3 linked regions of the Astyanax mexicanus genome follow. The protein of the gene in region 3 purifies or fractionates together with the protein of the main gene of each other region. This does not show direct contact. Links are inferred from orthologs where the notes say so. Each region holds a gene or a part of one and is shown on either strand. Other genes may lie near its edges.

Evidence for each region.
Region 1: the proteins of sf3b1 (region 3) and cwc15 purify together in Homo sapiens (co-immunoprecipitation; 3 studies listed by BioGRID and IntAct, with this or other methods). This does not show direct contact. The link is inferred for Astyanax mexicanus from reciprocal best matches to the Homo sapiens genes SF3B1 and CWC15.
Region 2: the proteins of sf3b1 (region 3) and sart1 purify together in Homo sapiens (co-immunoprecipitation; 4 studies listed by BioGRID and IntAct, with this or other methods). This does not show direct contact. The link is inferred for Astyanax mexicanus from reciprocal best matches to the Homo sapiens genes SF3B1 and SART1.

Annotation. Positions count from the first base shown.
Region 1 is NC_064408.1:38,128,986-38,136,620, reverse strand, and holds the start of cwc15 (protein CWC15 homolog), read left to right. Parts: upstream 1-4,569; 5' UTR 4,570-4,667; intron 4,668-4,758; exon of another isoform or gene 4,759-4,777; intron 4,778-6,160; 5' UTR 6,161-6,170; coding exon 6,171-6,301; intron 6,302-6,737; coding exon 6,738-6,844; intron 6,845-7,004; coding exon 7,005-7,102; intron 7,103-7,635. UniProt on the Homo sapiens protein: Involved in pre-mRNA splicing as component of the spliceosome. Component of the PRP19-CDC5L complex that forms an integral part of the spliceosome and is required for activating pre-mRNA splicing.
Region 2 is NC_064424.1:16,325,455-16,332,946, reverse strand, and holds the start of sart1 (U4/U6.U5 tri-snRNP-associated protein 1), read right to left. Parts: upstream 3,067-7,492; 5' UTR 2,589-3,066; coding exon 2,318-2,588; intron 1,328-2,317; coding exon 1,273-1,327; intron 1,177-1,272; coding exon 1,121-1,176; intron 1,036-1,120; coding exon 909-1,035; intron 786-908; coding exon 680-785; intron 500-679; coding exon 422-499; intron 318-421; coding exon 218-317; intron 138-217; coding exon 1-137. UniProt on the Homo sapiens protein: Plays a role in mRNA splicing as a component of the U4/U6-U5 tri-snRNP, one of the building blocks of the spliceosome. May also bind to DNA.
Region 3 is NC_064418.1:3,449,562-3,457,012, forward strand, and holds the start of sf3b1 (splicing factor 3B subunit 1), read left to right. Parts: upstream 1-4,448; 5' UTR 4,449-4,525; coding exon 4,526-4,553; intron 4,554-6,650; coding exon 6,651-6,823; intron 6,824-6,967; coding exon 6,968-7,069; intron 7,070-7,180; coding exon 7,181-7,295; intron 7,296-7,444; exon of another isoform or gene 7,445-7,451. UniProt on the Homo sapiens protein: Component of the 17S U2 SnRNP complex of the spliceosome, a large ribonucleoprotein complex that removes introns from transcribed pre-mRNAs.

The sequences.
Region 1 (7,635 bases), on a different chromosome or scaffold from region 3:
CCCTGCAGAGTTCTGTATTTTATTTTTTTCAGGCGCAATCCAACCTTATTCAACTCTCTTACTGATTGCCAGGTTTAGCAGGTCTGTTGGAGGAGGAAAACCTGCGAAATTTTCTAAACTCCAGCCTCCATAGCCCACTCCAGCGTATTTATGGGATTGTCCTGCTCTTTTTTAGAAAAATGTAACAAATGATGTATTGCTCCGTTCAGGAGAACGGGTTCCCTAGTGGAAGCTTGCAGTTGTTCATTAGTCGGGAGATGTAAAGGTAGGAAGTAAGCATTTTTAGGCTAACTAATATTATTCCTGCGCATGTTTTAACCCAGTTGGACCTCGCTTGTGTAGTTTTGCACTTAAAACAGACCGAGATATATCTGTTGCCAGGCAGAGAAAACTTTTATCCAATTAAATGGCAGTTTAGCTTTGACCACAGCATTGGAAAAATTTAATTCTGCACACTAAAAAGTAAAGCATAGCAGAATCCCAGATAATGAGGCAGAGTAAACCCGTTTTCCCCACATCCTGTTGAGTTTTTTAGGGATGATTTATAAATGTGAAATACAAAGATTTATATAAAATAATATTTCAAATCTAAAAAGGTAACAGTTGATAAGCAGTTCATACCACATTTTCCAGTTCTGATTTATGAAAACATCCTCGAGCCAAGCTGTTATTTTCGTATGGCTATTAAATGGTAAAATAGTAAATGCTCCTGTATGTTTAAAAAGGGATGGATGGATGCGGTCGAATTATGAAAATCATACTTTATACTAAAACTGAGGGAGGGCAGACTCACTGTCCTAGTTCTGTTATAAAGAGAGCTGGTGCAGAACTGCGCCACCTGCTGGCTGCTCAACCATCATTTTTGTCTTTATCTAGGACTAATACACACATATCATCTACCAGAACAAAGGGTTCTCTGGAGACTGGATTGTCTCTAATTTACTGTCAGTTGTTGTCAGATTTATTTCCTCCCTGTAAAACAGATCAGTGTCAGTGAGTTAAAGCTAAACCCCCTTTAAACTCGCTCAGCTCCAGCACTTAATGAGATTTATTTTATTGAGCTGTTTGTTAAATATAGATTCCCTTACAGCAGAACACAGCAGAAGCAGTGGGAACAGTCCATCCATTCCAACCCCCACCCATCAACTAATAATGTAGTAACAACTGTAGTTACAACGATTATAAGAATTAAATACACACCAGAATAAACTAAACAAAAGTATAAGCATAGTAAATATTATACAGGAATAGAACATTAATATAGAATGTTTATATGCATTGAAGGATGTGATGGGAGATAATCACACCTTCACACTATTTCCAGTGGTTTCATACCTTTATATATAAATACAGTAAGGGAAATAATTATCCCTTTCTGATTTTGTATATTTGCCCGCTGACAAAGACATGAAGAGTGTATAATTTAGGGGAAGGTTAATTTTAACAATGAGAGATAGAATGTCAAAATAAAATCCAGAAAATCACACTATATTAGCCATGTATTCCATTAAGAATTTTGGCACCTACAGACCAGTTAGACGCTCCTAATTAACTCGTTACCTGCATTAAAGACAGCTGTCCTTAATTGTCACCTGTATAAAGGACTTCTGTCTACAGACTCAATTAATCATTCAGACTGTAACCTCTACAACATGGGCAAGACCAAAGAGTTTCTAAGTATGTCAGGGACAAGATGCATGAGGCTGGAATGGGCTACAAAATCATAAGTAGTATGCTGGGTGAGAGGGAGATAACTGCTGGTGCAAAAATTAGTACAAAAATTGAAGAAATATGGAACATTAAGGACACAGGGCTGAGCAACATTATGATAAAAAACTTGTTGCCCTGACAGACTAGAGATGGACAACAAACTGTTAACCGCACACTGATGACGTAATGATATTAATAAATTACATACAATTGCATTGGTCATATTGACTTACATGTCTTGTACATAAATGTATAACTGTTTGGATGAAGTTTGTGTTGGGTTAGGGGAGGAGACACCCAAAACACTTGAGCAAAAATTCTGAACAGAATCTGCTTATTGGAGTGACCCAGTCAGAGCATACCTGTCAAGTTTTAGATTTAAAAATAAGGGATATTTTCCTCTGTACGCTTAAAGCCGTCCCACCAGCCCAACGAAGGTTCAGTATCCCTTACATTTTAAGACAGGTTTACAAAAAATCTAAAATAACCACAAGTGAACCACTTACACACTACAATTAGATTATCAGAATCTGAAATGTTGTGGACATTCCTACATATGTCATTCTTTTAATACAGCCAAATTAAAAACCCTTTTCTATATATTTTTTAAGAAATTAAGATTTCATGTCTTTTTTGTAATAAATGCACTCTTTTATATGATATATTTTTTATATATTTAATGGATTTAAAATTGAACAAAGGGTGCACAAATTCTGCAAAATTACTGTTGGTGACCTAAAAATAGTATCATGAGCTTTTACTAAAAGGACATGGACCAGATATGTTTCATCAGTAAAAATTAGTCCTAAGGGGCCTACACAATAAATTTTAATTAATACTTCTTCCTTTTGATCACTCCACCCCTGATTAGTTCAGTTAATTTCGGTTCTCTCCACATTTCTAGTTAAACTGAGTCACAAGCTGTATTTTTTTATTTTAAAAGGTTTAATCTGTGTGTTTTATTTTGGAGACGAGTATTTCTAAGCAGCTATCAGAAAAATATCATCACAGTTTACATGATTAGCCTACCGTTACCTTTCTTTTAGAAAAATCGCTGAATATCCAGATATGTTTTAACATCAGCAGCTCCGACTAGCTGCCTGAACTCACAGCGACGGAGGGGGCTTCCCCACACTGACCCTCCTTTGCAAGCTGATTGGCTGTTTCTCCTGAAAGGCGGGCTTTCTCCTTGAATCGGCTCCACGATTGGTTAAGAGACACAGAGCGGTCAGTGCCCTGTCTCCTCAATAATATATATATTTTTATTTTAATAGAATACGGGAAATTTACGGGAAAATACTAATACGGGAGGACGGCGGGAAAGAGGAGTAAAATACGGTAGTTTCCCGGCCAAAACGGGAGACTTGACAGGTATGAGTCAGAGCCCCAGATTTCAGATGCTACGGATTGACTTGGAGAGAGACACTTGACACATCCAAGGAATATAACAGAGCTAAAGCACTTCTGCCAAGAAGAATGGGCTAAAATTCCTTCTGAATTATGTGATTTGGAGGGGGGTGGGGATCAACCAGTGATTACTAGGGTTCACTTACTGTCCAATGCCACTTTGAGCGTTGATATATATAATATATATCAATATATTTGACATTTTTAGATGGATGGATGGATGGATTGATGAATGGATAGTTAGTTTATTGATCCCAGAGGGAAATTCTGTACATCCAGTAGCCGTTATACACAGTACACCGAAGTTCCAAAAGAAGAAAACAATAAAATGATACATATAAAAATGTGTAAATATGTAACCAGTGGACAATAAATAAACTAGTAGTGCAGAATAGGGTAAAACAGTAAAAATAATGTAATAGTGCATCTCAGAGGGTGTGTCTGCAGAGATGGTTGTGTGTCCATAGAGTGACCAGAGTTGCCGGAATGAAAAAGTGTCACAGAGTCTTTAGTTTGCTGTGGTGAGAGGAGTTGAACAGTCTTATGGCCTGAGAGACAAAAGTCTGTTTGTGGAGCAGGACTGGGACAGCATGGGACAGCGTGCCTGGTGATGATGCTGTACAGAGGATGGTGAACATTGTCCATGATGTTCAGCAGCTTGGTTTTGACATTTTTTTGCTGAAAACCATGGAATTCCAAAAGGTTCACATACTTTTTTATATTATAATAATTTTTAATAGTAATTATTAAATATGATTATAATATATTATAATGATTATAAAGATGATTATAATATAAATCATAATCATTAATAGTTACATTAATGATATTGAGAAAAATAATTTAAAAAATTCCCACAGCTCTATTTATTTTAAATTAGTTTGAGAGTAGTTTGCAAGTGTGAGAAACTCACTGTAGAGTTTCTTAGAAGGAAAACTGTCAGTAATATCTAATCTGATGTGAATGTGTATGTAACACATGTGGGCTTTCAGTGTCTCCATAATTGTGTGATTTATAAAACTTGATTTAATGTTTTGTTCTGTTTGTTTTATTTCAGTTTTATTTTCTGAGTGAACATATAATCCCTGTTAGTATACTAACAGTGGCAGCTGGCTAACAACCCTGATTTTATTCTATAATTATTGCCTTAAACAACAACCTAATAACTGGTATTTTAACATCATAATCAGGTGAGAACTAGTCATATAGAATTTAAAATCACTGAATTTTTATATGGAATTTAAATCACTTAATTGTGCAAACTATTATGTCCTTTAGTGATGGATGTTCACTATGTGTCATTTAGGGACTTAATGAGTTAAAAAGTGAGGGAGAGAGAGCTGTGAGAAACTTTACACAGATTTTAAAGGTTCTGTAACACATATTTACATCACCATGGGCTCTCCTGGGTTAAGTGAGCATGCTAAACCTGGCCTTTAGCTGTGGGATTTCACTGGACTCTTTTGTTTCCTGGAGCGTTTGTCCATAGCAGGCTGCCGTAGCAAAGCCGCGAGGGCTGCCGGGATATCGTAGGTCTGCGTGAGGCGACGGTGAGACATTTTTACATTTATTTATTTGTTTAAAATGAACAGATTAGAAATATGAAACGCGGGCTGCGACTCAGCTCAGTCTACAGGTTTCTGTGGTGAGCGGTAGGAGGGTAAATTTCAGAGCTTTGCTTTAAAAAGACGCGGTTTTGTTGACTGTTTGTGTTTCGACTGGAGGCTGGGTGGATTAAAGTGTGAAAAGCGAGTTTACGTGAACCAGTTCAGGTTCCATTAGGGCGGTAAAACATGTTCTGGAAGACTCGCTTATTTTAAGAGGAGGGCCGTGGCTTGTTTTTGTTGCCTAGCTAGGGTTAGATATGTAGCTTAGTCAGATTTTTGTTTGTGTGTGTGTGACTCCTGTGTTATGTTCATCTGTAACAAAAAAAAAACCGTCCTGAAGCAAGTCAACAGTTCACAGTGTACGTGTGAGCTAACTTTTACACATGGTGGCGGTAGTTTCACACACCATTGCTGTATCTAAGACTCCCGAAGTAAACAACAGGAGATCCCTCCTACATACATTCATAACAGATCATCATTTGGACACAGCGTGATGTTATGTCCAAATTAGACAGCAATCTTAAAGTCATTAGATTTTAGTAGGGGAAAAAGGTGTCATACTATTGCTTCACAATATTGGAAAAAAATGTTGCAGTATATATTGCAAAATAAACAATATATATTATTTTTTGCCAATTTTTGTCCAGAGTAAGTGGTCCAATATATCCATATATTAATAATGCCATCTGTGTAACAGAACAGTGGGTATTTCCTATTTTGCAAAAAGTAACCTTACTTGAATGGTTTAATTAGTCTTACATGACATTGCATCTCCCACATTGTGAGTACTGTGTGATAATGCTGAAATTATATATTATTATATATTAGGGCATGTTTTTATAGTTCTTTTAGGTGATGTAAAGGGGCTTCTATAAATAAAGCGTACATGATGATTTTTTTTTTTAACACAGATATTTTTGATTATGCTGACATTTGTAGGGATGCACTAATGTGGTGAATTCTGGACTGATGCTGATATCCGATATTACACAATTACATATTCCAGTGCTTATATACACATTCATAACTTACAGAGAGACTAGACACCCAACTGGGACTTTATAGATTTAAAACTAATAAAAATAAATAAAAATGAGCTTAAATCAATTCATTTTAGAGTAATGCAACTAGCGTTGCTCTGACCTTTTCCGGCATGCAATAAATACTTCAGGAAATATCAGTTTGAAATACTGGCCATACCAAGTGATGTGCAATTATGTCGAATTATATTGGTATCAGCCAGTAATTGTTGTTTTTTTATTTTTATTTTTTTAAATAAAAAAAGCTAGACCATCAACCTAGTACAGTAGCCCTGCCTACAGGTGCTCTATTTCCATCTCAGTTGTTATTAAACATTCAGAGCTGAAAAGCAGGTACTGTCCTTGTAGTGTCTGTATTGTTGTTGATTTGATCTGTGTATTTATGTTCTCCTGCAGGTGACCCAGGATGACCACAGCAGCGCGGCCAACGTTTGAGCCCGCCAGAGGGGGGCGGGGAAAAGGAGAGGGTGATTTGAGTGCGCTCTCTAAACAGTACTCTAGCAGAGACCTGCCTGGACATACCAAAATCAAATACAGGTGAGCTCCTTTGTTCTGAACATACAGCCCTCATTTTTAAAGGGTTTTTAAATTCAGAATGATCTATGTGCTGATAAGCATTTTAGCTTAAAAATAATCTTCGTCCGCAATAACCCACCTAAAAATACATATCACGTGACCGGTTATGTGCATCATTCACTATAATAGTAACCCCATTCTGTCAGTGTAAAAACCAATAGTCATAGTGCCATCATACATTCCACACCTAAGGTAGTAATTGTACTTTTTACTTATTTATTTCTCTTACATTTAAATTTAAGTTACAGGTGAATGTTTCATTTATATTATATGGCCAAACAAAGTGAACACATGTAAACAGTGATTTGTCTGGGTCTAGGTGCTGTATTAGACACTGATTGTGTTTAATGGATTGCGATTTAAGTATGTGTGTGTGTGTGTGTGTTGTGTCTTTTAGGCAGCCCACACAGGATGCTCCTGAGGAGATCCGCAACCGTGACTTCAGGCGTGAGCTGGAGGAGAGAGAAAGAGTCGCAGTGAAGGGCAGAGAGAGAGGAGCCAGGGGTAAGGGAGAATGTGTGTTTTTGTGTGTGTGTGTGTGTGTAACAGATGTTTAAAAATGCAGTCTGATAATCCGGCATTCTATGTAAACTATTGTAATATAAGTAAAATATACACACACTCTGTATCTGACTGTAACAGGAGTTTTTGTTTTGCCTTGTAGAGCATACCACATCCTCTTCCTCATCTTCATCCTCCAAACGACCAAGACTTGATCAGATTCCCGCAGCTAATCTTGATGCAGATGACCCGCTTACAGATGTATGTATTCTGTGTGTGAAGTATATGCATGGAGAGTACGGGATGCATAGCATTTTTAAAACAAAGTTAAAACAAAACTAGTTCCAGACATTAGACACTTTTTATTACAGTAGTATTGTGGAAGGAAGCTAAGAAAACTTTTAAACTGGAGATTAACATTTCTGTTAGCATACCTTTATGGGAATTGGTTTGTTTTACCTGGTTGATTTAAAGGCACAGAATGTGATTTTTATATACTTTTTTGTAAAATTAATTGAATGTTTCCTTATGGTTTACTAGTTTACTGTTGTTGGTGTTTCACGTTAAAATGTTAAAATACACACAGTGAGAGACGTGAGGCTAAGGAACAGCCAAAAAGTAACATTTCTGACAAAGAAAAACCAACAAAAAGATTTTAGATCAGGCAAGACAAATGCAAATTCTGCTGAGGCCCATGGAAGGTGGAGAGCCCTAAGAATATTGAAAGGCATGGCAATAAGGCATAAGGATGTTGCTCTTTGCTTCTTGATGGGTGGAAAACGTACATTTGCTGT
Region 2 (7,492 bases), on a different chromosome or scaffold from region 3:
CATGTCATCCACGCTCTCCTCTTCGTCATAAGGTTTGTACTCAGGCTTCTTTTTCTTAAGCTCCACATTCTTCTCAGCTTTCTCTTTGTCCACCAGACCCACATTCACCAGCACATCTTCATTTTCATCCAAAACACCTGCAACAAGAACATACAGTGAGCAAGCCACAGGTGCAGGTAAAGCAGATGCATTGCTGAAAAGCCAACAGAGCACAAACCTTTGTCTTGCAGTGTCAAAATTACAGTCTCCCCCTCTTTAAAGGATTCCATTTTGTGCTGTACTGAGAGACCTTTAAGGTCTCTAGAACTGTAAGCGTCCTACAAAAAAAAAAGACTTTTAGTAATCAGAAAATGTATTATATAACATTTAAAGTTTCTGTTTGATATATGATTAACCACTGCGGAAAGTGTATGAAGTCTACCTTCTTAGTCTGAGCGAACTCCTGTTCCACAAGGTTACTCACACCAAACTCTTCATCCATTTCTTCAAGAAGTTTGGCCTATGAAAATCATATGCTCATTACAATAAAAACAAAAATATATTAAACAAAGACATAATATTACAATAAAAACCACAACGTGTATATCACCAGTACATTTTTTGCTGTGCGTTTGCCTCAACAAAGAAGACACGAATGAAACGATTCTGCAGAAGCTGTAGAACCCTGTCTACTACTTACTCTCTTTTCTGCCAACTCCTTTTCCTTAGCCTGTTTGCGACTTCTTTCCACCCAGGCAGCAGTATCATCCAACCAAGGTTCATCCTCTCCAAGTGTCTTAACCTTGCTAAAATGGGAGACAATGATTAAGGTCAATTTGAGTAATGATACACAAGGCTTCAAGAGACAAAAACTCTATAGAAGTACAGTCCTATGGTGTATAAATGAAAAAGCATAATGAGGATTGTACCCAAGTTTCTGATTAAGCAGACGCTTCTGTTTGAGTGCAGCCAGTTTCTCCCTAATCTCTGCCTGCTGTTTGATCTGTACAGGGTTGATAGTCTCAGCTAGCAGGGGCTCTTCTTTTGTGCCCAGTTCTGCAATCAGAAATATTTAACATGAGAAAAAAAGAAGAGAAAGAATATTTGGTAGCATAAGTCCTGTTAGACACCGATTTCTCACCTTTTTTATTCTCATTTAGCTCAAGAGGCTTCAGACCAAGTTTGGCCCTCAATTTACTGAAAAGGGAAAACAAGAATTGGTTGGATAAGTTCCAAAATCAATTCTGATGCAAAACCTTGATAGACAGTCTGCAAAGCACTTTATTAGCATACTTGGTCTCTTCAATGCTGAGTGAAGCATCTCCACCCGCAGACTTTGGAGCCATATCTGCAAAGGAACAGACAAAAAAAAAAAGTTTAAATCAGGTACAGGCACTATAAAAAATGGGTGCATCACTACACATATTTTAATGTATTAACAAAATCACATTTTAATGAAACTTTGTTTAAAACACTTACTAACTTACAAAACAGTAATGCTGGACTACAAACATATAAACTGGTGATGCTCACAAGTCACTGTAACGATTCATTTCCAACAAAGGATCCATGAAAAGTTAGTCTTTTAATCATCAAGAATTACCTGGCCTAACAGACAGAAGTGAAAGCCCAGAACCACAGGGGTAAGGAATCACTTTAACCACACTACATTGCAGAATTGCATTTACAATGGCACCTAAAACGTTAGTGTAGAAAATAAAATCCTATGTTAACCATGTCCAGAAATGCCATTGCCTTCTCTGCGCTCAACTGTCTTTTTAAAACATTTTAATCACAAAAAAAACTAGAAATATTGGGATTTTATTTTAGGGCCATCAGGGGCAATTGTTTTGCTGTTTGTAGCAAAAGGAAAATTCCCACTGTTCTCATTTCCTATTAAATATTTAATAGAGACAGATTATATGTATCTGTCCAGCATTTTTTTTTACTCCAGTCCTGGATATATGGGGTGCATTACTAGTATTAATAGTATCATGTTGGATCATTGATTTCTGTTCAAATCTGGTGAAAATCTCAATTAGGACTAATAAGACTAAATATTTATTTTTATGAACTAGTATATTGAGTATTTTTTAATTAAATGTCACATTACCAAGAACAACCCCTACATAAAAAACATGTACTGGATGAGCCTTCTGGCAGTGCTGACCTGTCCTAAAAAGTGTGTGAAACTTTAAATCAATCAATGGTAATGCCAATTTCTTGATTACTGTTTGATAAGTTGTTGATTTTTGGATTTTGGCCAATATTGGACAGAAATCTAAATTCTTCTAACACTAACCAACAGTCAGTGGCAGTAAACAGGTCACCAGCTCACCTTCAGCCTCTTCAAAAGCTGGATCAAGTTTCTCCTTCTTTACACGAGTCTCTCCACTGCTCTTCTCTCCTTTACTGCGGCTCTCCTTCTCTCCCCGGCTGCTTCTCTCTCTGGAGCGGGACCTTTTCCTTTTCTTCTCCTCCTTTTCTCGAGTTCCATCTCTCTCCTTGTCCCGTTCTCTGTCCTTATGTCTGTGTTTCTTGTGTTCTCGGTGTCGGTCCTCTGCGTCCCGCTCCTTATCCTTCTCCTTGTGTTTCTTAGATGAGCCCATATCTGAGAGTATTAGTTAGTTAGCTAGATAACCTAATTAGCTAGGTTATCTAACTGTGTTAATTAGCTAACCTATGCGTAAACAAACCTGTTTAAAGACCCGACACTAAAGCAAACAACGCAAATAACTAACAGGTACTAGTTAGACTTGGGTTAGAAAGTATTAAAACGACACCAAAAATAACACGCTTAGCTAGCTAGCCTGCTAACAACATAGCTAACGCTAGCTAGCAAGCTAACCTAGCTAACATAGATACACTCCCTCCCAGCACGGTTTGTGTATATTAACGCTAAATAGAACATAAACAGAGCGGCTAGCTATACTCTACCGCCTGTACAACATATTTATCACACTCTTTAAACACCTAAAGTCCTGTAAACACGCGAAAAGGAGCGCTCACTAAACCAGCGAGGCCCAAATAAACACCAGCCACCATCCAATCGTTCTGCAGGCGTTCTGATAAACCGTCCCAAACTTCTTCCGAGTCAAACCTAACGCTCACTGCCGCCTGCAGGCGAGGAGGCTCTATATTCCAGCTCTGTGCCCTGAAGGATCCCTGATTCAAGATTCAAGATTCAAAATACAGTATTTATTGTCACGTCACAGAATACAGGTGAGTAAAAAAAACTTGTGTGCAGGTTCCTATTAGCATGTAAAGAACAAGATTTACTTGAAATATTTACTAAGTATTTATTTGCAGTGTAGATATACGTTAATATGAATGGATATACAAGTATACACTGATATATACATGTGCTGATATCTGAGTGTGTATGTGAAAGTGCAGAGATAGTATGTGACAGAGTAATTATGACTAAAGTGCAGGTACAGAATGAGTTGATTGGGAAGTACAGGGTGGAGAATGCTGTATAATAGGATAAGTATGGGAAAGTTAGAAAGATGCAATGTGATGTAAAGTGAAGTAAAGTTCAGGGTCAAAAAGTTTGTATAAGATGGCAGTGGCAAGTTGGGCAAAACACTGTTCCACAGCCTGGTCGCCTGGGGGAAGAAGCTGTGAGAATGGGTGGGAGGGGTCCTTCGTGATCCTTCTAGACTTTCTTAGGCAGTGGTTGGTGTATAAATCTAAAAGCATTGTGAGCTTCTGGATTTGGGGTTCCAAACGTTAATTTTTTAAAAAGATTTTGGTTGCATTACTTCTGTTAAAGTAATGATAGAAAAACAATCTTTAAACAACCCTTATTTAACATTTAACAAATTCCCACAAATCATAATTTTAATATTACTAATTATTAGTATTATGTCACTTTATACACTGAAAGACCACAGTACAGTCTACAATAACAGAATCCAAAAACTATAAATACTAGTGCATCTTAAAAATGAAAAGTTGAAATTGAAAAGTTGCTTTTTTGACAGCCATGTCATCTGCTTGTGTTGGTCCACTGTATTATATAGTCCAAAAATCAGTGCAGTTTTTTCCCCAGAAAATCTTATAGCACTTCATTCTTTCCTGATGCAGATTTCATTTTCCAGCAGAGTGGCACACTGCCACACTGCCAAAAGTACTAATTGGTCTAATATACTATTCTAGTTTTCTGAGACACCGATTTCAAATTAACAATAAAAGAAATCAACACTTAAAAAGGATCACTCTGTATGTAACACATATACACTTCTTGAGTCTAATGTACATCTTTAATTTAAGTTTAATAAAAACATACATCTAAAACCATAATTTTGAATTAACGTTAAATCAATGTAAAATTGATGTGCACAAATAAATCAATTCTGATGTTGGAGACGAATGCATTAGCAATGGAAAAAATATTGTACATAAAGAGTCCATGCTCCTAGAGAGTTTTTTTTTGAAAGGCACTTTTACTCGAGTCATAATGAGCCAACGTCCCATACAAAAATTCCAGGGTCATTGGTAAATCACCACAGGGAATGATCTGAGTTTAAACCTTGATCAATGTTTGTAGATTCACATTTAGTACCTGTGATGTACTGGCCTATTTTTTGGGGGAACAATATGAAATGTATCTACTGGGTATTAAAACGCCCTTATGGGATAATATGATGTAGGACACAATGTGACAACCAGAATTAGTGTCAGCATTTTAATCAAACAAAGTGGTAGACAACTCATTTAATGAAAGATGCTTAGCAGAAGCCTCGGTTTAAACTATTTATTATGCAGGGGTTTTTAATCTGATGCTGGTCAAGCTATTTGCATATTGGGTGTGTTCTTTTACCTCTCACTCACTATCGGTGAGTAGTCATTCTTCACAGGCTGCCTTCTCTTGGGATTCGCATGTGTTACATAATAGTTAACTGCCTGGCCTTAGCGTTAAAGTCTATAAGAGCAAGCCACTGTGTTTTGCAATTTTAATATGACTGATAATAAGACATAACAGTCATACATTCTTAGTTGCTAACTTATGTTGTGCTCTTTATATGAGTTTGATTTATGTGAAACAGGATCTTAAAGGAAAGGATACAAAGTGAATTTATAAGTTGGTGAGACTTAATTTCTAAAGCTTTATGCATATAAAAATCAATTATCTGAACTAATGATTTTTAGTTGGCACAACTGTGTCTTTTCTTTGAGTTGGCCTCAAAACTAAAAAAAATTAGTGCAGTAAATTGCCTTCCCTAACTTGTAGAATAGACTGATACTGCAGTGGCAAAATCTGCACTTTTCTCTACAGAGCAGGAGGACAAACAGCCTTGTGTTTGAGCTTTATATTGCTCAGTGTGTTTTCACTAACTACACATAGCAACTTAAATTATTCTTCCAAAGATAACTGTTATACACCATTTTATTTACATTTTGCAGCTTATTCAACAGTACATTGACCAGTGGTTCTTATTTCCTGTATATACATACCTCTTTTTTAATATATAGAAGGGTTCAATCAATTCTTAAACAGTTTTCCCAACAGTGAACTTAAACAGTGAACAGTAAGCATAAGAAAAAGTTATACAAGACACATCAAACTTAGTTTTTATTGTCTTTAATACATTCAATCATTTAACATAAAACCAAAGTGATTACTAGATTAGAGGCAAACAGCTGCAGGCATCTTCATTGGGTGAATGAAATCGCCAAGGTGTGGTTTGGCTAAAGGTTTTGTAGGTTGTGGTAGGATCTCAGTAATTCCGACAGTGGTGCTTCCGGAGAGCAAACTACATGAGCAAACAATAATGGAAATAATTCTGGGTCTTGTGGAGCTGACTGAGTGCATGGGAAAAATTAGGCAGAAAAACTTTCCTAAAGATTCATTTTACTGTTTTAAGGCATAAACTTAATTTAATTAATTTTAAAGAAAGATAAAAAAAATACACTGTTTAAAGTCATGCTGTTAGGATTAAGGATCACAAATCAACCCAAGAAACCAACCCAGCCTCTGGATAGTGAGTTACAATTGAAACTGAAAATGATTCCCAACACAAAGAAACCTTGAAAACACTTTCCAAAGAACAGACATCCACTGAAAGGTCTTAGCTGCAAAATATGTTCAGTTAGTTGTAAAATATATCAAACAGCAGGTTTATGTACTTTAAAAATATAAGTCATTTTAAAGAAGACACTTTGTAGAATGTATTTAAACTCATGAGAAAAAGCTTAACTATAATTCAGCTTTAACAAGGAATTGTTTAACCAGTGTTTGTATTATTTATTTGAATGTGCTTTAGCTGCTAAGCTAAAGCTAGATGCTAACCTCTCTCACAGTTACAGGCTAACTTAAATGCAAGTCTACTCTTCTCCACCCAAGGTTGGTTTGTCAAATTAATATTTTCACTTCATTTACCTACTCCATACATATGTACTCCAGCGCCAGCATTTCAGCTACAGAAACAAATGAGTTTTCAAGTTATCAGCTGACTTTATAGTCCCTGGATAAATTGGAGCATGCCCATTGTGGACCAAATGGGTTGGTCCAGGTTAGAGGGAGGCACAAAGTAATTTAACATTATATACTTAAATTTGCAATTTCAGTGTATTCTGTTTTATTTTTTTCTTTGTTCTGTCTACATTTTAAATTTAAATATATACAAGTGTATGAAAAATTGTTATGAGTGTTCCTGTCCCCATCAAATGGTTTGGTCCAGGTCTTTTGAACCAGCATAGGGATACAAAAAAAATAGACAGTTTCTACAGATAAAGTCTTGGCCAATCAGTGGCCAATCAGTGGTCAAACAACCAGTTCTGCTTTATAGACGACAACAGCAAAACAATCAAAACAGCAGACTAAACTCTTTTTTCCAGATCACTCCATATTACAATAATAATAATAACAGTAAATAACCATGATGACTCTTTGAAAAATATGTGGGAGACATTATTGTCCTGTACCAACATTTAGCATTAATAGTTAAAGTTCCTGGGATTGTTGCATCGGTCGGTGACTCGCCAAGGAAAGCAAATTGCAATTGTGCTGATGTGATGGTCTGACTAAATTAATTTCATGTCATGTTCCCCAACTAAGCAAATGTTGATCTTACTATTAAAAACGTGCTAGTTTGCATAAACAAAAGAAACAATTTATACAAGACACAGAGCATTTACAAAAACATTTATTTTATTTATTTAGTACATGGCATTATTCCAGAACTTTTTAAAACTAAATTTCTCAATAAATATAAGCAACAGAAAACAATTAAACAAAAGTGATTACTAGATAACAGACCAAAGGTTTTAGGTATCTTCATGCAATGCATTGCTTTCAGTGATTAGCTAATTACAAGCTGCATGGTCTACACATTCAGAAGAAAAACAGGAGTGGCCAATCTTTTCTGCAAAAGGTCCATATGGATGCAGGGTTTCATTTCAGTAAAGCAGAAGCATGTGTAATCAGTTTTTGAATGACTGAAGACTTAATTAAAACAAGTGGATTTAGGTGAGCTAATTGTTGTGTAGAATGAAAACCTGCTACTAC
Region 3 (7,451 bases):
CTCTGGTCTACTATAATTTACTACAAGCATTGTAACATAACTGCACTGACACACTGGCAATTAAATATATATATGTAATATATTTAAGGCTGCAAAGTATACATCTACGTTGCTTTCACAAATCTGCAAGATAAAAGCACCTTAGCAGGCAGCATTTTTATACAACATTCAATTAATAAACGACTAGGGGCCTGATTAGCCAACATTTAATCCATCTCAGACAGCAGAAGCAATGGCCCCAGTTGAAATCTGATTGAAATCTGATTTTGTCACTTATTAAAGTGACAAAAAAAGCAAAAACAAAATAAGCAAAAACAAAATAAGCAGAAGCAAACAAGACAAGCAGTAAATACAGAAAAAAACACAAAATACACATAAAAGAAGCAAAGACGTATAAATTATATGATTAATATGTTTTTTGTTTTGAAGTTGCCAACTACACTTTTTAGGGTTCAAGCACCGAAGGTGCGTAGAACCCTATTGTTATTGCTAAGATTTTTAGGGTTCAAGCACCGAAGGTGCGTAGAACCCTATTGTTTTTGCTAAGATTTTTCTTATTATTATTATTATTATTATTATTATTATTATTATTCTTTTTCTCCTGTAAAAACAGTTGTGCAGCCTAAACCGTAAGTCATAGAGAAATGAAACTTGGTAGGTAGATGTAGGATCAGTGCATCTCGGTGGACAACAAAAATGGCACCGATTGGTCAAGTGGTGGCGCTATAAACAAGGAAATTCATTTTTCACAATTTTCTCAATAACTCAAAAACCATAAGACCTACATTCAAAATTCTTTTTTTGCTGGATTCCTTGGGTCAATACCAACAACTTTCCAATTTGGACCATGCACTTCCGTCTATATAGATTTTGTGCTAATTTGCATAATATGCAAAACCTACTTTTGCAAACTAGTCCTAGGATTTTTGACCAATCCTGGCATGTTTGGTATCAAAACACTCGTGAGAGCATGCGCTTCAATATTCATTAAGAAAAAGTTGAAATATGTAAACAATATGGCCGCCATATGCAAATTAGTCCTTCCGGATATATGCCCCATTCACTTCAAGAGGTAAATTTGGAGCACTGTTTCTCAGCAACCGTGCAACCTAGCAAGTTGAAACTTTGCATGCAGAATCTAACATACAGCCTCTAAAGGATGTTCAAAGGGCAACTTAATCAATCAACATGGCTGAACACCATCAGCCAATCAGCATTCAGCAGACATTTTGGCAGGCTGAACGTTGCCCAATCTGGATGATATTTGGCAGTTATGTTCAGGTGGAGACACTGTAGTGACCTGCAAAGTGCTGAAACAATCCGCCCACTGGGGGGCGCTGTTCCAAAAAAACGAGTATATGTCAATCATGCTGTACTATTTTGACATCTAATTGTTTTTGCCATATTTAGTACAGTGGGTCTGACAAATTTCTCAATACAACTATGTTTAAAAAGTGCTTTGTTCATTCATAATTGCTAATTGTTTGAAAATAGCTATATTGAAACTACTCTCTGGATATTTGGCCTATCACCTCCATTTCAGTCTTGCTGCACACTGTAGAGTCTCTAGGTAAATGTTCATTAAAAACATTTGTGAAAATTTCACATACAATACTCTCCAGGCATCAAGCAATCTGTGCGTCCTTGGAATTTCTAACCTAAATTGCTGTAACTCTGCAGTATTTGCTGTAATCTCACAATGTTAAAGACCTCTGTACAATATCACTTTGATGAAGCACCATTTAATACAGAACTAGATTAAGAATAACTTGACATTACATGTCATATCAGAACATTCACTCCTTTGTGCCTCTTCTCAACATTAATAACAGGTGAAAGACTTTTGATCATTTTAAATGTGACAGAATGTCTCCAATTGTGTTAGACCTTCTTACACATCACCATCCTATGCTCTAGTAGGCACCATTGTGCTAGTTGGTGCTTGATGAAGCGCCATTTAATTCAGAACTAGATTTATAATAACTTCGTAATTACATGTCATATCAGAACATTCACTCCTTTGTGTTAATTTAAACTTGTTTGGTCAAACATTTCAGCTTGTTCTGCAAAGGTTCAAAGGTCAATCTGAATACCACTTTGTGAACATTCTGGTTGAAGCCACCTGATCAATACCAATAACATGTAGACACCTTTTGACTAGTTCTAACTCACTTAATGAATATCCTACAAAGTTCACTAGATTTACATGTGAATTTAAGCACTGATCAGGTTGAAAGGCCTCTGCTCAACATTAATAACAGGTGAAAAACTTGATAATTTCTAAATGTGACAGGGCATCTCCAATCATATTAGACCTTCTTACACATCACCATTCAATGCTCCAGTAGGCACCATTGTGCAAGTTGGTGCTTGAACCCGATGATTGCCGCTTGCGGCTATATTTCTTCTTATTATTATTATTCTTTTTCTCCTGTAAAAACAGTTGTGCAGCCTAAACCGTAAGTCATAGAGAAATGAAACTTGGTAGGTAGATGTAGGATCAGTGCATCTCGGTGGACAACAAAAATGGCACCGATTGGTCAAGTGGTGGCGCTATAAACAAGGAAATTCATTTTTCACAATTTTCTCAATAACTCAAAAACCATAAGACCTACATTCAAAATTCTTTGTTTGATGGATTCCTTGGGTCAATACCTACAACTTTCCAATTTGGACCATGCACTTCCGTCTATATAGATTTTTTGCTAATTTGCATAATATGCAAAACATACTTTTGCGAACTAGTCCTAGGAATTTTGATCAATCCTGGCATGTTTGGTATCAAAACACTCGTGAGAGCATGGCCTTCAATATTCATTAAGAAAAAGTTGAAATTTGTAAACAATATGGCCACCATATGCAAATTAGTCCTTCCGGATATATGCCCCATTCACTTCAATTGTTAAATTTGGAACACTGTTTCTCAGCAACCGTGCAACCTAGCAAGCTGAAACTTTGCATGCAGAATCTGTCATACAGCCTCTAAAGGATGTTCAAAGGGCAACTTAATCAATCAACATGGCTGAACACCATCAGCCAATCAGCATTCAGCAGACATTTTGGCAGGCTGAATGTTGCCCAATCTGGATGACACTTGGCAGTTATGTTCAGGTGGAGACGCTGTAGTGACCTGCAAATTGCTGAAACAATCCGACCACTGGGGGGCGCTGTTCCAACAAATCGAATACATGTCAATCATACTATACTATTTTGACATCTAAATGTTTGTGCCATATTTAGTACAGTGGCTCTGACAAATTTGTCAATACAACTATGTTTAAAAAGTGCTTTGTTTATTCAGAACTGCTAATTGTTTGAAAATAGCAATATTGATACTAGTCTCTGGATATTTGGCCTATCACCGCCATTTCAGACTTGTTGCACACTGTAGAGTCTCTAGGTTAAGATTCAATAAAAACATTTGTGAAAATTTCACATACAATAGTGTCCAGGCATCAAGCAGTCTGAGCGTCCTTGAAATTTTCAACCTAAATTGCTGTAACTCTGCAGTATTTGCTGTAATCTCACAATGTCAAAGACCTCTGTACAATATCACTCTGATGAAGCGCCATTTAATACAGAACTAGATTTAGAATATATTTGTAATTACATGTCATATCAGAACATGCACTCCTTTGTGCCTCTTCTCAACATTAATAACAGGTGAAAGACTTGATAATTTCTCAATGTGACAGAGTGTCTCCAATTGTGTTACACCTTCTTACACATCACCATCCTATGCTCTAGTAGGCACCATTGTGCCAGTTGCTGTTTGATGAAGCGCCATTTAATTCAGAACTAGATTTAGAATAACTTTGTAATTACATGTCATGTCAGACAATGAACTCATTTGTGTTAATGTAAACTTGTTTGGTAAAACATTTCAGCTTGTTTTGCAAAGGTCAAAAGGTCAATCTGAACACCACTTTGTAAACATTCTGGTTGAAACCACCTGATCAATACCAATAACATGTAGACACATTTTGACTAGATCTAACTCACTTGATGAATATCCTACAAACTTCACTAGATTGACATTACAATTACAATTTACAATTTAAGCACTGATCACGTTGAAAGGCTTCTGCTCAACATTAATAACAGGTGAAAATTTTTTAATAATCTCTAAATGTGACAGGGCATCTCCAATCATATTAGCCCTTTTTACACATCACCATTCAGTTCTCTAGTATGCACCATTGTGCCAGTTGGTGCTTGAACCCGATGATTGCCGCTTGCGGCTATATTTTATACTTATTTCCCCCACTGTATATAACTACCAGGAGGTATATGTATATACGTTTTTTAATGTATTTAATGTCTCAATTTTGTTTAAGGTGTATACAAAAAGTACCTCTGTACATTAACTGCCCAAATAAGTTAAATTAATTTAAAATAAAAGCTTCTGTAAGTGATTCTGCCTCTGAGCGTGTTTATGTCTACGCCCATTGTGGGTACTGCGCATGCGCCGCTGAGCATAGTCTGAGTAGTGAGGCCTTCCGGGCGCTTTCACACAGACGCAACGATGGCGAAGATCGCCAAAACACATGAAGGTAAGCGCGTATATTACATATATTCAGTACAGGCGGTGTGAACAGGCTACATATACGTTTTCTTAACGGTTTGCTGGCTGGTTCTCGTGGCATGACTGGAGAAATTAGCTGCTGCTGCTGCTGCGAAGTGAACCATCGTAGTGCGAACGAGGCGCAGAAGAGAACATGGCGACTGAGCGCTTTATTAACTAAAGCCGCCAATGAACCGCAGATACAGGCGGTTTAAATCATTGTAGACTCGCTCTGTATCTTTTTATACATGCGGAAAAATGTGTAAAAGAATACCTTAGCATTATTTGAGGGAAATTATAGTCGGACAGCCTGTGGTGATTAAAAACAGAACCCTCACGCAGGATCCAGCGCTGCTGTGCGCGGCCTGTTAGTGGCCCTGCTCAAAATGGCGCTCTGTGAGCTAACCCAGCTAAAGCTAACTGCTCCCATTACACAAAATACAGCGTGATTCCCTTCGTTTTAGCGGTTTAATACTGATTTAGTGTAAGCTTTATATTTTGTGTGGCTCAAAATAGCGTTAGCAGAAGGCTCACTTAATTAGTAACAAGAAAATTAGCGAGTTAGATAGTTTAGTACGTAGCCCGTTGGTGCAGATTAGTTAGCTAAGCTAACTACTTTTGACTAGCTAAGATGCTAACAAAACATGGGCAGCATGTCTGAAGTCATTCAGCGGTTTGACTACATTATTAGTGGTTTCTTTGGGTTATATATATATTTTCTTTTTATATTATGGCTATATTGGTTGGTATCAAACATGTTAGTAACGTTACCTAAATAGCTAACGTCGAATAATTTGTAGCTTAATGGCATTGCAATAAGAACACGATTTCCTAAGTATTAACGTAATCCTCTCAGACCCTGCATCCGTTAAGCTACAATAAACACCATGTAACTTAATTTTCTTTATTTTTCAAAATGTTTTGTTGCACATAACACTATTCAAGAGCTCTTGTCCTTCAGAATAGTTCATGAACCAGCTATTGAATACGTTTATAAACACATGAAACCTTTGGCCCCGCCTACTGCACTGGAAAAACAAGTTCTAGAGCCATTGAGGCTATATAACAGCTAATTCTTACAATTTTAACGTGATCTAGAACACTGTTTCGCGATGGTTTATACAATAAAAATGTCCATATAAAATATAAAAGTCTTCAACCGGCAGAGTCTGCTAATACTGCTTCATTTTGTCTGCTTGTCACAAAAACGTGTGTGCGGAAAATAATATTTTTATTATATTAACCAGGTGGGTGATTGACATACGCCACAGGTTTTGAGTTTTACATTGCTAAAAATGTTTTTTATTGGTTTATTAGTTATATTAGTATTATATCGTATTGACCAAAATTAACATATATTCATTTCATACATAAAATAGGTTGGTATAAATTTTGACTGTATTCTGTACCCCTAGTAAATAACAGGCTGGTTGTTAGAGGTGTCACTTGATTAAAAGAAATATTGAATAAATCACTACAGTCTTTTGTGATTTAATCATGGTTGATCATGTGGTGAAGTGACAAAAAAAGCAAAAACAAAATAAGCAGAAGCAAACAAGACAAGCAGCAAATACAGAAAAAAAACACAAAATACACATAAAAGAAGCAAAGACGTATAAATTATATGATTAATATGTTTTTTGTTTTGAAGTTTGAAGTTGGTTATTAGAGGTGTCACTTGATTAAAAGAAATATTGAATAAATCACTACAGTCTTTTGTGATTTAATCATGGTTGATCATGTAGTGTTCTTAAGATTAAGCTTTTAATAGTGTATATGTAAATGTAAATAAGAGAATGAATACAATATTAGCAAAACTAAGTTACATTTATTTTAGTTGTCAATTGCTTAAAAAGATTGTGTTGCTGTAATATTCTGTGATCAGACATAATTAATAAAGTTCAAATCATGGACTGTTTTGAAAACTATCTGATTAGTTTTAATGCTTTAATGCTGTGTATGTGCACTCTTGGTGTCCAGATTAATTGCATGCCCTACTGTGTATACCTGTGTACATTTCTGGTGTGTGGGTCTGAACAGATGTCATGTTTTCAACATACGGTATTTCCCTGTTTTCTATTTTCAGACATTGAGGCGCAGATCCTGGAAATCCAGGGGATGAAGGCAGCTCTGCTGGAGGAAGGAGAGCAGGGTGTCGGCCTTGATTCCACTGGATATTACGACCAGGAGATTTACGGAGGCAGCGACAGCCGCTTTGCCGGATATGTCACCTCTATTGCAGCAAACGAGCAGGAGGAAGTAAGTTGTACAAATAGTTAATTTGATATGCTTATAAGATGAGTCATGGAGAAGCAACACATACATTTTCTAAATCATATGTGCTTAAAATATGACAAAACCTTTACAGACTGTATCTTACCAACATTTTTATTTTTTCTTAAGGATGATGAAGAGGACTCTTCCACGAGTTTACTTGGGCAGAAGAAGCCGGGGTACAATGCTCCAGTGGCAATACTCAATGCCATTCCTCAGTCAGATGAGCAGGTAATTTAATGCAACTCTTTGTTACACTTCCTATTTATAGATGTTTTAAAATATGCAACATTAGGTGAGTTTAATTATCTTTAACTTGTTTTTTCTCTCCTTTTTTTGCAGTATGATCCTTTTGCTGAGCACAGACCGCAGAAGATTTCGGACCGTGAAGATGAGTACAAGAAACGCAGACAAAAGATGATCATCTCTCCTGAGCGCCATGACCCCTTTGCAGACGGTAAATGTCACACAGCTGTTCCCTTTCATACTCCCATCCATGTCCATGCTGAGGAGTATGCAGTGTCTATACATAATCCTGCTCTATATCACTGTGTTGGTGGTTAACCCTTCAAGCACTTGACGACAACTTGCTTCCCAGATTTAGACTAAGCAT